Linked DNA regions of Elephas maximus indicus. The protein of the gene in region 1 binds, or shares a complex with, the protein of each later gene. Links are inferred from orthologs where the notes say so. Each region holds a gene or a part of one and is shown on either strand. Other genes may lie near its edges.

Evidence for each region. Proteins that work in one complex are often made in the same cells at the same time.
Region 2: TAF4 (region 1) and TADA2B share a complex: the UniProt entries of both Homo sapiens proteins name them as parts of the TFTC-HAT complex. The link is inferred for Elephas maximus indicus from reciprocal best matches to the Homo sapiens genes TAF4 and TADA2B.

What each region holds. Positions count from the first base shown.
Region 1 is NC_064843.1:5,834,562-5,842,243, forward strand, and holds the start of TAF4 (transcription initiation factor TFIID subunit 4), read left to right. Parts: upstream 1-4,623; 5' UTR 4,624-4,652; coding exon 4,653-4,878; intron 4,879-4,953; coding exon 4,954-5,847; intron 5,848-7,682. UniProt on the Homo sapiens protein: The TFIID basal transcription factor complex plays a major role in the initiation of RNA polymerase II (Pol II)-dependent transcription.
Region 2 is NC_064823.1:164,952,068-164,958,972, reverse strand, and holds the start of TADA2B (transcriptional adapter 2-beta), read left to right. Parts: upstream 1-3,839; 5' UTR 3,840-3,895; coding exon 3,896-4,165; intron 4,166-6,905. Other genes in the region: CCDC96 (coiled-coil domain-containing protein 96), read right to left, coding at 1,883-3,385. UniProt on the Homo sapiens protein: Coactivates PAX5-dependent transcription together with either SMARCA4 or GCN5L2.

The DNA of each region.
Region 1 (7,682 bases):
ACGGGTCTTGTACTTCTTTTTGTTTTATATTGCGTTTTTTTTTTTTTTGGGTACTCTTGCAAATGGTCTCATTTTAAAAGTTTAATTTTTTATGTTGAAATTGACATTTAAAGATCAATATCTAAATCTTAGCTTCATACATCCCATCTGAGCAATTGATACTTACTAAATACCAATGACAAAATCTAAGGCTTGGTGCATCTTCCAAACCACCTGGAATGAAGTCATAGGGCTTTACAAACTGAGCACCTGGGTTGAATGAGGGACAAGTTCCAGTTAAGAATTAACCAAAGCAGCAAGAAATTCTAATAAGTCACCCGATGGGCATTGTGCTTAGAAAGTAGAGGCTGGTAGAGTGGCAGCTTTGCAGGTTAAGGGAGAAGCTGAGGTGCCTTAGGGCTCCCCTTACTTGAAAGTAAGGCCATTACTTGACTGCAGTTTGGGATGGCAAAGGAGACATTAGGGAACATCGACCTGCTGGAGTGAGGTTAAGGAGGGCAGTTTCCCTCCTGAACTTTGAAGTAAGCTCCTCTCTGAGTTAAACCAGTTACACCCATCCACAATGGCTGCAATTAGCCATTTATGGCAGTAGGCCAAGAGACTGTTGTAAATGAGTCACTCAAGAGTTTGCAGACACCCATGGCCCCCATCAAGGAGATCTGGGTCAACTTCAGAGCAGAAGCCAGCCAGTCTGTGGTTATAATTTAGTGAGTGGACTTCTAATCAGTGATGTCCTACTATCATTAGAGAGAGGGACCAGAGGGGCTGGTCAGCCGGGGCAGCCTGAGCAGAACTTTGGAGTCCAGGTCCCAGGTTTCTTCAATGCCAGTTCTGCCCCCACTGGGAATGTCTTGGGCCATTTACTTAACCTTTCCAAGCCTCGGCTCCCTCCTCTGGAAGAGGCTAAACCTGCCACACAGTGAGTGCTGTTGTTATTGGAGGCCACCTGAGACTGTCCCTGGTGAGAGAGTCTTGGCAAGAAAGAGCCAGAAAGGGGACTGTTGAGATGGGTGGGCTCCACCCCAGATCTACCCATGAGGCTACTGCCTAATTCTCCAGGTTCCCCTGCCTGCTTCCTGGGGCAAAGGGGCCATCGGGCCGAGTGCCTTCTGACCTCTGAGAGGCCTTCTCCCTGTGAGTGGACAGACTGGCCATCTGCATTTGCAGATCAGTCATGAGACATGTTCACAAAGCTGTCCTGGCAGGCGGATCTGTTCTCGAGCATCCCTGTCTGCAGGGCTGAGGAGTGCTGCTGGCTGGGGTGGTGAAGTCCTCCAGGTGAATGGCCATCTAGCCATGTTTTTTTTTAAATTTGTTTTTATCATGTAATATTGCAGACAGAGAATGAAAGTATAGGTGACATGCCACTGCACACCTTCCCCACAGCCCAGCATTGAAACCATGGAGTCTTGATAAAACTTGTATTTGTGTGTCTCATGCTTTTTCCTCATTTTATTGCTTAATAAATTAAAGGCCCCACAAACCTGCTGGCCTGGGAAGCAGCACTTATGCTCACAGCCTGGCACATTTGCCAGTAGCGAGGGTGTGCAGCCCTGGGATCTTAACTCTCTTTTGTAGCAAACCTGACCCATGTTCCAACGCAGCATTTGTGGTCACATATCACACGTGTTTCATCCCTCTCTCCTCTTTTCACGCTAGATGTGAGTTTCCCTGCAAACCACAGAAGCCAAGATGCTTTGTGGCCCCAAGTGAAGCCAGATGGAAATGGTCAGAGGCACTTGGCCTGAGTCCCCAGGGCGGAAGAGTTGGCGAATATTCGCCCACCTCTGCCCCATCAGGAGAGAACTGCTGGGTGGGCAGTGCTCTCCAGGTGAAGCAGAGCTGACCTCTCAAAGTGTGCTGTCTGTCTGGGGAGTAGCAGAAGACCCTCCGGGAAGGGAGGTGAGCTGGGTGGGTACAGAGCCATGACCTTACTACACTTCCTGCGACTGCTGGACTTGAGGTTGTTCCGGCAGACTCTGACGTGACGTCGGGAAATGTATCGATGCTGGAGCACACCCTGACTAGGAGAAGCCCCCAGGCAAGCCTGGTGGCAGAAGGCTGGTCAGACGCTGAGCTGGAGGCCAGCCCATATGGAGCCCAGCTGGCTGGAGGGAACTGACAGGAGCAAGGCCTCAGTGCTGAGCACCCACTGTACCCCAACTCACCCCATGTCTTCACCTTTCCTTTAGCAGAGCTCTCACTCCTGCATTGGCAGACCTGCAGATGTGAGAGCCCAAGTTCCCTGAGCCTGTGACGGGGCCTCACCCTGGTATGGTGACACCTTCATGGGGCACTGAGTCCTGCCTGTGGACTGGCTGCTGCTATTCCTCTGCTCCTGACTCTAAATTCTGAGGGGCTGCACACGGGGCTGGCACCAGGCAGCTGATGGGTTTTGTCTGGTCTACTTCAAAATGTTCTAAATAGTTGTCAACATTTAAAAATTGAGAGATTTTCACAAGACTCCATATTTCTTCTATTGTTTGAAGATTCAGACCACCTGCCCTGCTGAGGTCTTCTTAGCTCCCGGCTGCCCCTTGGATACTGGGACAGGTCCCCAGTGGTCAGTCCCTGGTGCACCCTGGGGCCTCCTCAAACCCAGCTCATTTTATTCCTCTACTTTCCTGCCTGACCTTTCTACAGCAGAGCCGAAAAATACCTGAATGAATCACAAGGGCTAGGCTAAGATCTTTATTTGTTTGAGTTTACTTTCAAAGTTTCAGGATATTTCTGAAGCCTTGCCTTCTGGGGGCTAAAACTCAGGTTTAAAATTCAAAACACTCCCCACCCCCTGCCCAGACACCTTTCCTTGGTTCCAACATCCGCTATGATTATCTACTGCTGCTCTCAAGAGAAAAAACCTGGAGAAAAAATCGTGTGTTTGTTATCAATAGGTCGGTTAGGTTGAAAGGTTGCAATAGGAACACACACACCCACCCACCCACCCACCCCCTTAGGCTCTGTTTTTGAGAGCTGAGCAGTCTCTTTTGTGAAGGCAGTTAGAAAAATCATTTACTATGTCAACACTGGCTGTGCTGAGACTGGTGTTTACTGTGGTGACTGTCTCTTCAGCAATAAAGACAGGTCCTGTGATTCCGTGTTGCCAGTGACTGAGAAAGCAGTTCTCTGCGGAAACTGTTTTGGGCTTTTACAAAAAAAAAAAGAAAGAAAAAAATCAGAAAACCATTAAAAATCTCCAATAACACGAGTCTTTTGGTTAAAAAAACCAAAACAACTCAGAAAAAGGGAACTTTAATATTTTTGTAGAGGGGCTCCTAAACATCATTTTGGGTCATTTACCTCTCCCTCCCCTGCCCAAAGTAAATAAAGAGCAGAAAAGTACTTCCAAAAGCCATTGCTTCATACCAGCGAATTTTATTTTGTACCTGGTCTACTTACCTTTCTGTCTGGGGGAGGGGTCTGTGGTCATTACATGGCAGTCACCTTTGAGCCTCAGAGTCCCATCCCCCGGAGAACTTCGTTTATTGACTTAAAAGTGGAGGGGAAGGCCCACGGTAGTCCCAGCTGGAGGGTAAGCAGGGGAGTCCGCGCAGACTCGGTTCCCAGGACCCGCCAGTCTGGCCAGCCCCGCAGCCCCCCAGCCCCAGTTCCCACGCGTTCCCCAGCATTGAGGGTAGAAGGCTGCTTGCACCCAGCCGAGTGCGATCATGTTTTACTGCAGGAGAAATAGCCCTCAGGGTGCCAGCGCGCACGATGCCGGCCCGCCCTCCGGTGACCACCACCGGCGAGGGTCGCCCCTCTGTACACATCTGTCCCCGCCCTGCCCCCTCTGTCCGCCGGATGTCACCCATCCCGGTGATCGCGTCTGGCCGGTAGGCCTCGTCCACCCACTGGTGCCTCAGAAGCGGCTACCGGGGGGTGTCCAGGCGCTCTTGCGGCCCTCACGGTGCGCGTTTGGTGGTCCCTGCTTTAAGCGGTGCCGCCAAGACCTCGGCAGGCGGCGGGGGTCTCCGGGGCGTGCACCTGCGCCCCTCCGGCGGCGCTTCCCCGTGCGTTTGCCGGGGTCTCCCGGCCCCGGCTCCCCTGGCCCCCCGCCGTCCTCCCGAGCACCGCCGGCCTGCACGCCCGGTCACGGCGTCGGCCCGGAGCCTCGCCCGCTGGCGGGGAGCAATGGCGGCCGAGCCGGGGTGCTGCTCTCCGCCACCGCTCCCGGGCCCGCCCGTGCTCCCCGTGGCGCCCGGCGCGGCCTCCCGAGCTCTCCAAGCGGCGGCAGCGGGGCGGACTGCCCGGCCGCCCCTCGTCGCTCCGTCGCCCGCCAGCCCGCCCGCTCTAGTCAGCTTCGGCCGCAGCCATTTTGGAACGAGCGGAGACAAAGAGCTGGCCGCCGCCGCCGCCGCCACCCCCGGCCGGCCTCGTCCGTCCCCGCAGTCCGTCCCGACCCGGCCGTCCGCCCCCCGCACCCGCCGCCCGGCCCCGAGCTCCAAGCCCACCGGCCGCCCGCCCTCGCCCCGGCCTCTAACGCTTGCAGCCATTTGTCGCGCCTTTTAAGCGCGCGCCGCAGCCAATGGGCGCCCGCCGGGCGGCGGGGCGGGGGCGGTGCGCGCGGCTGCGCCTGCGCACTGGCGCCCGCCCGCGGCCCCGCCCCGCCCCCCCGGCCGAGCGGCGGCGGCGGCGGCGGCCGAGGAAAAAAGATGGCGGCGGGCTCGGATCTGCTGGACGAGGTCTTCTTCAACAGCGAGGTGGACGAGAAAGTGGTGAGCGACCTGGTGGGCTCGCTCGAGTCGCAGCTGGCGGCCAGCGCGGCCCACCACCATCACCTGCCGCTGAGGCCCGACGCGCGGGCCGCGGCCGCCGCGCTCGGAAACCACGCCGGGAGCGCCGGCGCCGAGGCCGCCCCGCCGGAGCGGCCCGCAGCAGGTAGCCGGGGCCAGGCGGGGCGGGCTGTCAGCGCGGCCGCCGCGCGTCCTCACCGCTCTCTCCTTGTTGTTGCAGGGCCCGGAGCCGCCAGCCACGGCGCCGCGCGCCCGCCGCCGTCCGAGGGCCCCGCGCCCGCCCCGGCGCCCGCCCCGGCCCCGGCCGCCGCGGGCCCCGAGCCCGGCCCCGCCGCCAGCCCCGCCGCGGGCCCGGCCAAGCCTGCCGCCAGCCCCGCCGCGGGCCCCGCGCTGCGCGCCGGCAAGCTGGGCGGCCCCGGCGCCGTGCAAACTTTGAATGGGAGCAGCGTGGTGGTGAACTCGCTGCGCGCCGCGCCGCCGGTCAACAACGGGCCCGCGGCCGCGCCGCCCCCGGCCAAAGCGGGCGCTGTCAGCGCCGCGCAGCCCGCCGGCTCCGTCATCCAGGCCGCCGCCGCCGCCGCCGCGTCCCCCGCCGCCCCGGCCCGGCCGTCCGGCACGCCCGCGGGACCCCCGGCCGCCGCCGCGCAGAACGGGAGCAGCACTGGGATCGGCGCGGCGCTGGGCGCGGGGGGCGCGCCGGCGGGGGGCGCCGCCGCCGCCGCGCCGGCCCTGCAGGCCGCCCCTCTGGTGAACAGTCAGCCGGCGCCCCCCGCGCCCCCTGCCGCCGCGCCGCCGGCGCAGGCCGCCAAGGCCGAGTCCCCGAAGACCTCGGTGCCCGCGGCGCCCCCGCCGCAGACGCTGCCGGCCAGCTGTCCGGCGGGCGCGGGAGCAGGCGTGCTGCTCGGGCAGACTGTGCCGCCGGCCGGCCCCCCGCCCGCGCCCGGCGCCCCCGCCGCGCTGCCCAAGGGCGCGGCCGCCCCGAGCCTGCCGCCCCGGACTCCCACGGCCGCCGCGCCCGGCCTCCGGGCCACCCTGACGCCCACCGTGCTGGCCCCGCGCCTGCCGCAGCCGCCGCAGAACCCCACCAACATCCAGAACTTCCAGCTGCCCCCAGGTGAGTGGCCGCCCCCCGCGGGCAGGGGCGGGTCTGCGAGCCGCGGAGTTCCGGGAAGTACCCCTACTCACTCACGGAGACGCTAAGGTCACCTGTGTCCTACAGGGCGGGCGGCGATTTATTTGGCTGCGGTGTAGGGGCTGGGGCTGCACAGGTGTAGTAGCCTCTAAAAAGGTGTTGTGGCAGCCCGGGCTAGGGCTGTGTGCATGTATGTACACGTGTGTGTAGGTACATGTATGTGTTTGTGTACACTTGGATATGTGTGTACATGCTCGGGTGTGTGCATAAATTACCTGCTTATGTATCTGTGTGTACGTACACCTGTGTGTATATACATGTATGTGTGTGTATGTCTGTGTGTGTTTATGTATATCTGTGTTTGTAGGTACTTTTGTGTGTATACAGGCATGAGTATACGTCCATGTATACTTGTGTGTGCTTATCTACCCCGTGGGTGTGTACACACCTCTGTGTGTGTAGAGTTCCTCTGACTAGGTATGTACACTCACGTGTGTATGTATACCTGCGTGTATGAGTGTATGTACACCCGAGTGTATACGTACATCTGTGTGTACCCGTGTGTGTAACGTACCTCTGTGTACGTGCGCTTGTGTGTGTATGTACATCTGCATGTAGGTACACGTCTGTGTAACACACCTTTCTCTGTACCTGTATACCTGCATCTGTAGGTACCCTTGTGTGTGTGCATGTACTTCTGTGTGTGCTGTGTGTATATCATACCTCTGCATAGTACACCTCTGTGGGTGTGTGTGCGTATGCATGCCCAGTGCAGCTGTGGGTTTCCCACCCGTGACGTCCTGGTCTGTCACTGCGTGTCCTGCATTGCTTGTTTGGTTGTGGCAGACTCGCAGTTGGGTGGCTGGCCCTGCGTGCCCCTGCCCCCATGGGCAGCAATAGCAGCGATTGCAGGGACAGGTTGTCCAGAGGTTGGGCGTCACGGGAGCACAGTGTACTTGGAGCTTGGGTGGTCAGGCTTCCCCTTCCTGGTGTCTGGCCTGTGTCCCCACCTGGCTCCTTCCTGCTCCTTTACCATCTGGCTCTAGAGGTCCCGACAGTGGGCTGGAGAGACCCCTCCTAAAGGTGCTGTCGCAGCAGGGTGGCCTCTCTCTGGGAGCTGGCGAGGTGTGCACTCTGCCTGCGGTGATGGGGCCCCCTACACTGCAGCCTCCCGTTCAGCCTGAGCACAATCCTCCCGGCACATGTCCTTCCTGGTCGCGTCCTTGTCTGAAAACCATGCTTGAGTATCATCTTAGCTGGACTTGTTACGCTGTCAGTATTTTCAGTTCAGCAGAGACACTGTCAGGACTGCCTGGTTAGTTGTGCAACTCTGGAAGCCGTTGGTGGTCAGAGGCTCTCCAGACGCTCCAGTGGGTCTGAGAGTGGTTCAAACCCAGAACATTTGCAGAGGGAGGCTCTGGGGTCAGCAGCTGCCTCAGCCTTCAGCGTCTCGCTGCACAGGCTGCCGCTGGCCCTGCAGCTGAAGTTTGACAGTGAGGGATTCCCTCAGCAGCCAGCCTGGGGCAGGTCTTAGAAGGAGTCGCCTCCTCCTTCCCATCCACTCCCCCAGCTTCAGGACTGTGGGCTCGGCCGAGGCTCCGCCCTCACGGGTCACATGGGTGGGTCCAGTTGTAGTAGAGGGTGGCAGTAGTGAAGACAGCACTGCCCATGCTGCCCCCGCCCCCCGCCCCCGCAGCCCCTCCTGCTCTCTGGAGCAGGACTTGTCGCTTTGGAACAATTTTGGAGTTTTAGAAGAGGAGGAGGGTTAACCTGTCAGAGGGTGAGGGTGGGACGGGTGCTAAACTGCCAATGGGGTC
Region 2 (6,905 bases), on another chromosome or scaffold:
CCCTTTGAAGACAGCATTTGTGAATGGGTTGCTAACTCATGAGTAAGAGCTTTTCTCTGCTTTAATTAGGAAGAACCCATTGTAAGGCAGTCAGCAGAAGGTTGACTGATGGCACCATGTCCAGCATGAAGTAATATCATTTGCGAGGACACTGGTAACTGTCCACATGCTCATTTACTCAGGACAGATTTGCTCTGCAGCTTAGAGCAACACCACCCTTCTCAAACTCCTTTTTATCTTTGTGCTCTGAGAAATCTACTTGTCATTGGGTTCAAGACTGGTGGAAGGAACTCTTGGTTGGATCTGGGTAATTGCCGATGGGTCAAATCAGCTGAAAACACCCACTCTCCCTAGGGGGAGCCAAAGGAGTCAAGGACGGTAGTATGATGCAAGCCACAGGCCTGGCAAGTCACGGTGTCTGTGCCAATGTCACTTGGAAGCCTCCCACCCATGAAAGAATGCTGGGGGCACATACAGCTTTTAGTTCGAGGCACGAAGAAAGCAAAGTCCCATTTATTTCCCAGTGATCTAATTTCACTTTGGTCTTGAAGAACAGGTAAAGAACAAAATTGCAGATGACAAGAATGGAAGCATGAAGTCAAAGCTCCCCCTACCCATGGTTACATTCACGTGTAATATTATCAATAATATTATCAAAAATAGTGTATTCAAGCTGCAGAAGTTAGAAAAGGAATTCTAATCAGCTTTATTGGCTTCAAGTGGAAAACACTTTAGAAAATAAGACCATGTCACCAGAAGACACTCTCACGAAGTCTATAAACACTGTTGGACCAACTGCAGCATCTGCCCAGAGACCATCCTTCTTATGGTCCAGTGAAGTTTACCAATGGGGGCATACTTCTAACCCTAAATCTGCACCTCTCAAAATTCAGTCTAAGGTTTAGAGGAAATGAAACCAAGCTCTTAGCTGCAGCAGCATCAAGGAAAACAGAAAATGTTAATCACTGATTCTGATTAAGAGGAGAACTAGTATGTATTTCTCACGAGGCGTAACAGACACTCAAGTATCTCCCAGTAACATATGCATAGTGAAGGTCCTGTTGTCAAGATTTGAAAATATCTTGCTGGGAAAAAAGATTTATGGACATCAGCAGGCACCCCCTCCATATACTTGGCAAAATATACACTACACAATCATTTTGTTCTCACTGGAAAACCAGACTGCACTTTTCAGTACACGTAGCCATTTCTTCAGAGGGTCCCACAGGCCGTCTCAGTACAGGTGAAGCCTGCTGTAGAGCCTGAGACACACCGTAATGGTGAGCAGTCCCCCTTCTGCAGATGGGGGCAGCCAAAGGACAGCAGTGGCTTCTCCTACTTATCATCTGCTCCCTGGATATTTTCAGGGCCCCACCAGCTGATGCTGATTACATACACAACACTTTACATAACTTTGGGAATAAGGGAACCAGTGAGCATCTCAGGCAGTGACTCAGGACTACAAAATAAGAAGTTCAAAGCAAGTTTAATAGCTTTAATGCACAATTTAATTTAAAGGCATTTGTTTTATACCCACCCATCTGCTCAACTTTGAAACCTTCCTCCACGTGGTAGAGTAGCAGTACTCCTTAGTTCTGGGTCGCTGGAACTAGGGAACTGCTCAGATATAAAGGGCACTCGGGTACACGAAACCAACCCCGTTGTTTGTTTCTCTGGACCCACTTTGCTCAACCCCATACAAAACTGTTTGCTAACCCAATTCTGTGCTCAGCACTCATTTGGACGTGAGAAATTATGATACAAACACAAACGTGTCCCACCCCAAATTCCACAGGACTGACAGCATTTGGAGACTCAAAGTTCACGGAGATTAAGTTGTGCGGCATTGAAAACACCAGGCCAGCTCCTCTCCTCCACTGTCTCAAGAGGGGAGAAAGGCCTTGGCCTCCCTGATTTTCTGCTTCACCCCCCTGCAGGACAAAGCCAGCCCGGCGTGGTGGCGCTTGAGGGATTCCAGGCGCTGGTTGAGCAGCTCCGTCTTTTCCACCTTTTCTTCCATGTCCTGGAGGAGCAGCTCCTTGCCCAGAAGCCCGCACTTCTGATTCAGCCTGATGTTGTCCATCCGCAGGCTGTCGCGGGCTTGCTTGGTCTTGGTCAGGATGTCTCTCTTCTGGGCCACGCGTGCCTCCATTTCCAAAACCTGGGACTTCTTACACATGTTCTCCATTTCCACGAAGTGTAGCTTCTCCTTCACGTGGGTTATGATCTGCACGTTGTTGATCACCTTGTTACGCAGCTTTAGAAGTTCCTCGTTGCGCTCCTCGACCTTCTCATTGAAGGTCTGGTTCTCGATCTTCAGCTGTTCGAAATCGATGAGGAGCAAGCCCTCGGTCAGGTCTCCCTGGGTCCTCATCCTGGTTTCAAAGTGCGCCAAGCTCTGCTTCAGCTGCACGTTCTCCAGCCTCACGGCGCTCATCTCCTTCTCCTTCTTGTCCTCCAGGGCCTGGATCTGCTCCACCTCCCGCAGGGCGGCCTGGCGCCCGCCTCGCAGCCGGCAGCTGCCCATGGCCTGCAGGACCACCTGCTTCTTCAGGGCCTGGAAGGCGCGCCACGCCTTCTCCACCCTGGCGACCTTCTCCTGGCACTGCTTCTTCAGCTGGATCAGCTCCTGACGGAACCAGTCCAAGTCGTCGGCCTGCTGCTTCTTCAGCTCCTCCAGCGCGGCCAGGTAGCGCAGATACACCTGCTCCTTCTCGGGGGCCTCGGGCTCGGGGGCCTTGTCGGGCGCCTCGGCCGCGTCGAGGCCCTTCTTCCTGCGCAGCGCGTCGTGGATCTTGTGCTGCAGGTGCACGTTGTGGCGCTGGTAGCGGCTGCGCTCCACCAGCAGGGCGCGGTACTGCTCCAGGAGCTCGGCGCGCAGCTTCTGCTCCTGCTGCTTCCGCACCTCCTCGCTCCACTCGCCCTCCCGGCCCGCGCCCCCGCGCAGCTCCTCGGCGCTCCTCGCCCGGCTCCCCTCCGGGCTGCGGCCCTCGCTGGCCTCGCGCTCGTCCCCGCTGGCGACCTCGGGCGGCTGGGCGGCCGCGGGCTCCTCCTCGCCGGCAGGCGGCGGCGAGAGCCGGGGCGCGGCCGGGGCCTCCGCCGCCTCCTCCCGCGGCCCCTCGGAGCCGGCCTCGGAGACCGGCCTGGACGGCTGCTCCCCGGGCTCGGCGTCGTCCGGCGCGGCCTCGGGCTCCGCGGGAGCTCCCGGCTCCTCGGGCGCCGCCTCGGCCGCGGCCCCGCCGTCCGCCGGCCCTTCCACGGCCTCGGGCTCCGCCGCGGCGCCGTCCCCGACCGCAGCCTCAGCCGTCTCGGGCTCGGCGGGCTCGGCCGGCGTCTGGGGGCTCAGGCTCTGCAGGCCCCCGGCGTCCCCAGCGTCGTCCGCCATCTCCAACCCACTGCCGGCGGCTCGGTTTCCAGGGGCAACCGCCGGCGCCCGCCGCGGGCCCGACGATTGGCCAGGAGTCGGCCCGGCGCCCCGCCCCCTCGGCCCGCCTCCCGGTGCGATTCGGCCAATGGGAGGCCGCGAGAGAACGACGGCCAGGTCCGACTGGAGGAGGGCGCCGTCTCGCCCCGCGGGGGGCGTGGCGCCTCCGCCTCATTTCCGCCCCGCCCGTTCGCAGCCCGGGCCTGGGCGGGGCGTCGGGCGTTGGCGGCACCAGGCGGCGACGGCAGCGCGGGCAGTGCGCAGGCGCGGCGGGGTCGGGGCGCGCGAGCGCCTGCGCGGTGCGGCGCGGCGGCGGCGGCGGCCGATGGCGCCTGCGCGCTGAGGAGCGGCTGGGCGCGGCGGCGGCGGCGGCGGCGGCGGCGGCGGCGGCGGCGGCGGCGGCGGCGGCGGCGGTTGCGCGGCGGCGGGGGGCGCGACGGCGGGGCTGTCGGCGGCGCGCCCCGCGGGAAGATGGCGGAGCTCGGCAAGAAGTACTGCGTGTACTGCCTGGCGGAGGTGAGCCCTCTGCGCTTCCGCTGCACCGAGTGCCAGGACATCGAGCTGTGCCCCGAGTGCTTCTCGGCCGGCGCCGAGATCGGCCACCACCGGCGCTACCACGGCTACCAGCTGGTGGACGGCGGCCGCTTCACGCTCTGGGGGCCCGAGGCCGAGGGCGGCTGGACCAGCCGCGAGGAGCAGCTGCTGCTGGACGCCATCGAGCAGTTCGGCTTCGGGAACTGGGTGAGCGGGGGACGGGGACCTCGGGGCGGAGACCCGACCGGGGGACGGGGGCCTCGGGGCGGAGACCCGACGCCTGGACGGAGACCTCGGGGCGGAGACCCGACGCCTGGACGGAGACCTCGGGGTGGAGACCCGACCCCGGGAGGGGGACCCTGGGCTGGGGACCCCAGGCTGGAGACGTTGACTCCTGGGCTGGAGATGCTCACCTCAGGCCCACTGTCAGCTCCCTGGAGGGGCGTCCCAGCTTTGGGCGCTGCTGGGGAAGGCTTCCCCCCGATAGGGAAAAGGACCACTTGACTCACTCATTTCTACTGCACCGCTGAAGGCTGGTAAGGCAGGCACAGCCAACAAATAGCCTGTTTAGAGACGGGAAGACTGAGGCTCAGCAAAGTTAAGGTAATATGCCCGAGACCGCATCGCCAGGAGCTGGGGCTTGCTGACCACAGAGCCCCCTTCCTGACCTTTCAGGACACTTCCAGTAGGGATTTACTGAGTGCAGGCGACGGCAGGACCTGGCATCGTAGCTGAGTAGGGGTCATGGAGGTACGCCTCACCGACTTGACAGAATGGTCAGGAAGGTCAGTGGGAGGACAGCAAGCCTCACAGATACCATGGGGCTTGTCTGCTTTGTGTCTGTGGCTCCCTTTGCTCTCTGTGGTGGTTTGCGCCATGCTAGTGTGTGAGCTTTGTGGGTCCCTACAGTACGCAGGGAGTCCCTGGGTAGTGCACATGGTTAATGTGCTCAGCTGCTAACCAGAAAGTGGGAGGTTCAAGTCCACGCACAGGCGCCTCAGAAGAAAGGCTTGGTGATCCATTTCTGGAAAATAAGCCGCTGAAGACCCTGTGGAGCACAGTCCGCTCTGACACACGGGGCTGCCGGGGGTCACGGTCGACTTGACAGCAGCTGGAAAGATACCCAGGATGCTGTGCAGTGAGTGGTCAGTAAATGGCAAGCAGAGGGTCCTGGAGGAGGAACAGGGGTCCTGGGTGTTTGCCCACCTTACACGTCAGTAAAGACTTTCTCTGTGGAGGAGGAGGTGATAGCTGTTCTGGTTTCACTTACACCGCAGGGTAGCTTGTTGGGCTCCTTGAGAGAGGGAAGCCGGGGGCTCCTTGAGAGAGGGAAGCAGGGGTTCTTCTCCAGATGGGCTCCCAGAAGCTCTCTGTGTCCCAGTGGAGCCTCCGAGCTGGTCCCCATCATTCATGTCTCCAGAGCTCTCCACGTGCCGTGACCAGAGTGACCTTTTAAAAACAAGCTGCATCTTCTTGCCTTTCCCAGGCTCCCAGGTCCATTCAGATTAGACCCCCGGCCAGTGGGGCTCATCGCTCCCCGCCCTCCGGGATCATTCTTTATTTTCTGTCCTACTGCCCTCCCACAGTCTTTTTACTGGATGTCCATGCCTCACCAAGACGCACCCTCCGCACGCCATCTTCCTTCGTGTGGCTAAGGTGCTGGTGGGCTGCAAGCCTGTGAGTGCCTGGCACCTGCAGGTTCTCAGTGTCTCAGGAGACTTCCCAGCAGCCCTGCGTGGGAGCTCCTAACCACACTGTCTGCACAAGAGCAAGATGCTGGAAATGAAGACAAGGGTAGTGTGTTGGAAGAAGCGTGGGCTGGAAGTGGGGAGGCCTTTTCCGAAGTAATCTTTCCCAGGCTTAGTGTGTACACAGGTCACCTGGGGAACCTGTTAAAGTGCTGGGACTGGGTCTTGGTCCCAGGGCGAGGCCTGAATATCTGTATTCCTAACAAGCCTCGGCTGCGTAGACCAGGTAGTGAGGTCTCTTCCTCTCTGGCCGTGCTGTCCTGGGCCAGTCGCTCTGTCCCTGGGTTCCGTTCTTCACCCGAGGCTCTTCTGCAGCTTTGGATTGTGGTTATCTCATGTGCACACGTGTGTACGTGTATGTGCGCGTGAGCGATCATTTTTTAGGACCTGTTTCCACGTGCCAGTCACTGGGCCTGGCTTTTGACACGCGTGTGTTCGTGGTCTTCACGGTTTGTGGTTCCAGTTGAATGACAGTGACTCAGAAGTCGAGCCACTTGTCCAGGGTGCCATTCCTTTTCATGAGGGGGGCAGGGTTTGGACGCGGGCCTGTCTGATTCCAAAGCCTGGGCCTTCGCCCTTTAGGAGCATTCAGTGATGTGGGCCAGGGACTGTGAGCTGTCAGTGCTGCTGAAGGTGTGGGTGGCTGGGAGGGCTGACAGGAGACCACCTCTTGGTGGCTTGGGAGGGTGCATGTGGGCGGGGCACTGGGGGAGGGTAGGGCTGAGTGTGGGTGCACACAGGAGGGGGTGGTGTGGGAATCGAGGCCAGTGATGTAGTTAATGGAGGAGGTCTCCGCCCTGATTTCCCAGCTGCAGGTGATGACACCGACCTGTTTGGTCTGGGATTCACAGAGGATGGAGCTGTGGCTGAGTACCAGGGCAGGGACCGCGGGGCCAGCTGATGAGTGTTAGCAGGAGGCAGCGAGGCTTGGGGACGTGAGCATGCATGTGTCTGCCACCGTGTGTCGGGGCGTCTGTGACGACGAGGCTGTGGTGGAGAGGAGTTGTCAGGTGGACCGTGGCCCGCGGAGTTGGATCAATGGGCTCATTGAGAGCCGCGGCAGCCAGCTCCGGGCACCGTGCAGGACCGGAGCCTTGCGTGACAGCCCTGCTGGACCAGCAGATAGGAGGTGACACGCAGGTGGCCTGTGCTCAGTCTGGGGCTGCAGCCATCTGAGGAGGACTCTTGGGGAGTGGGAT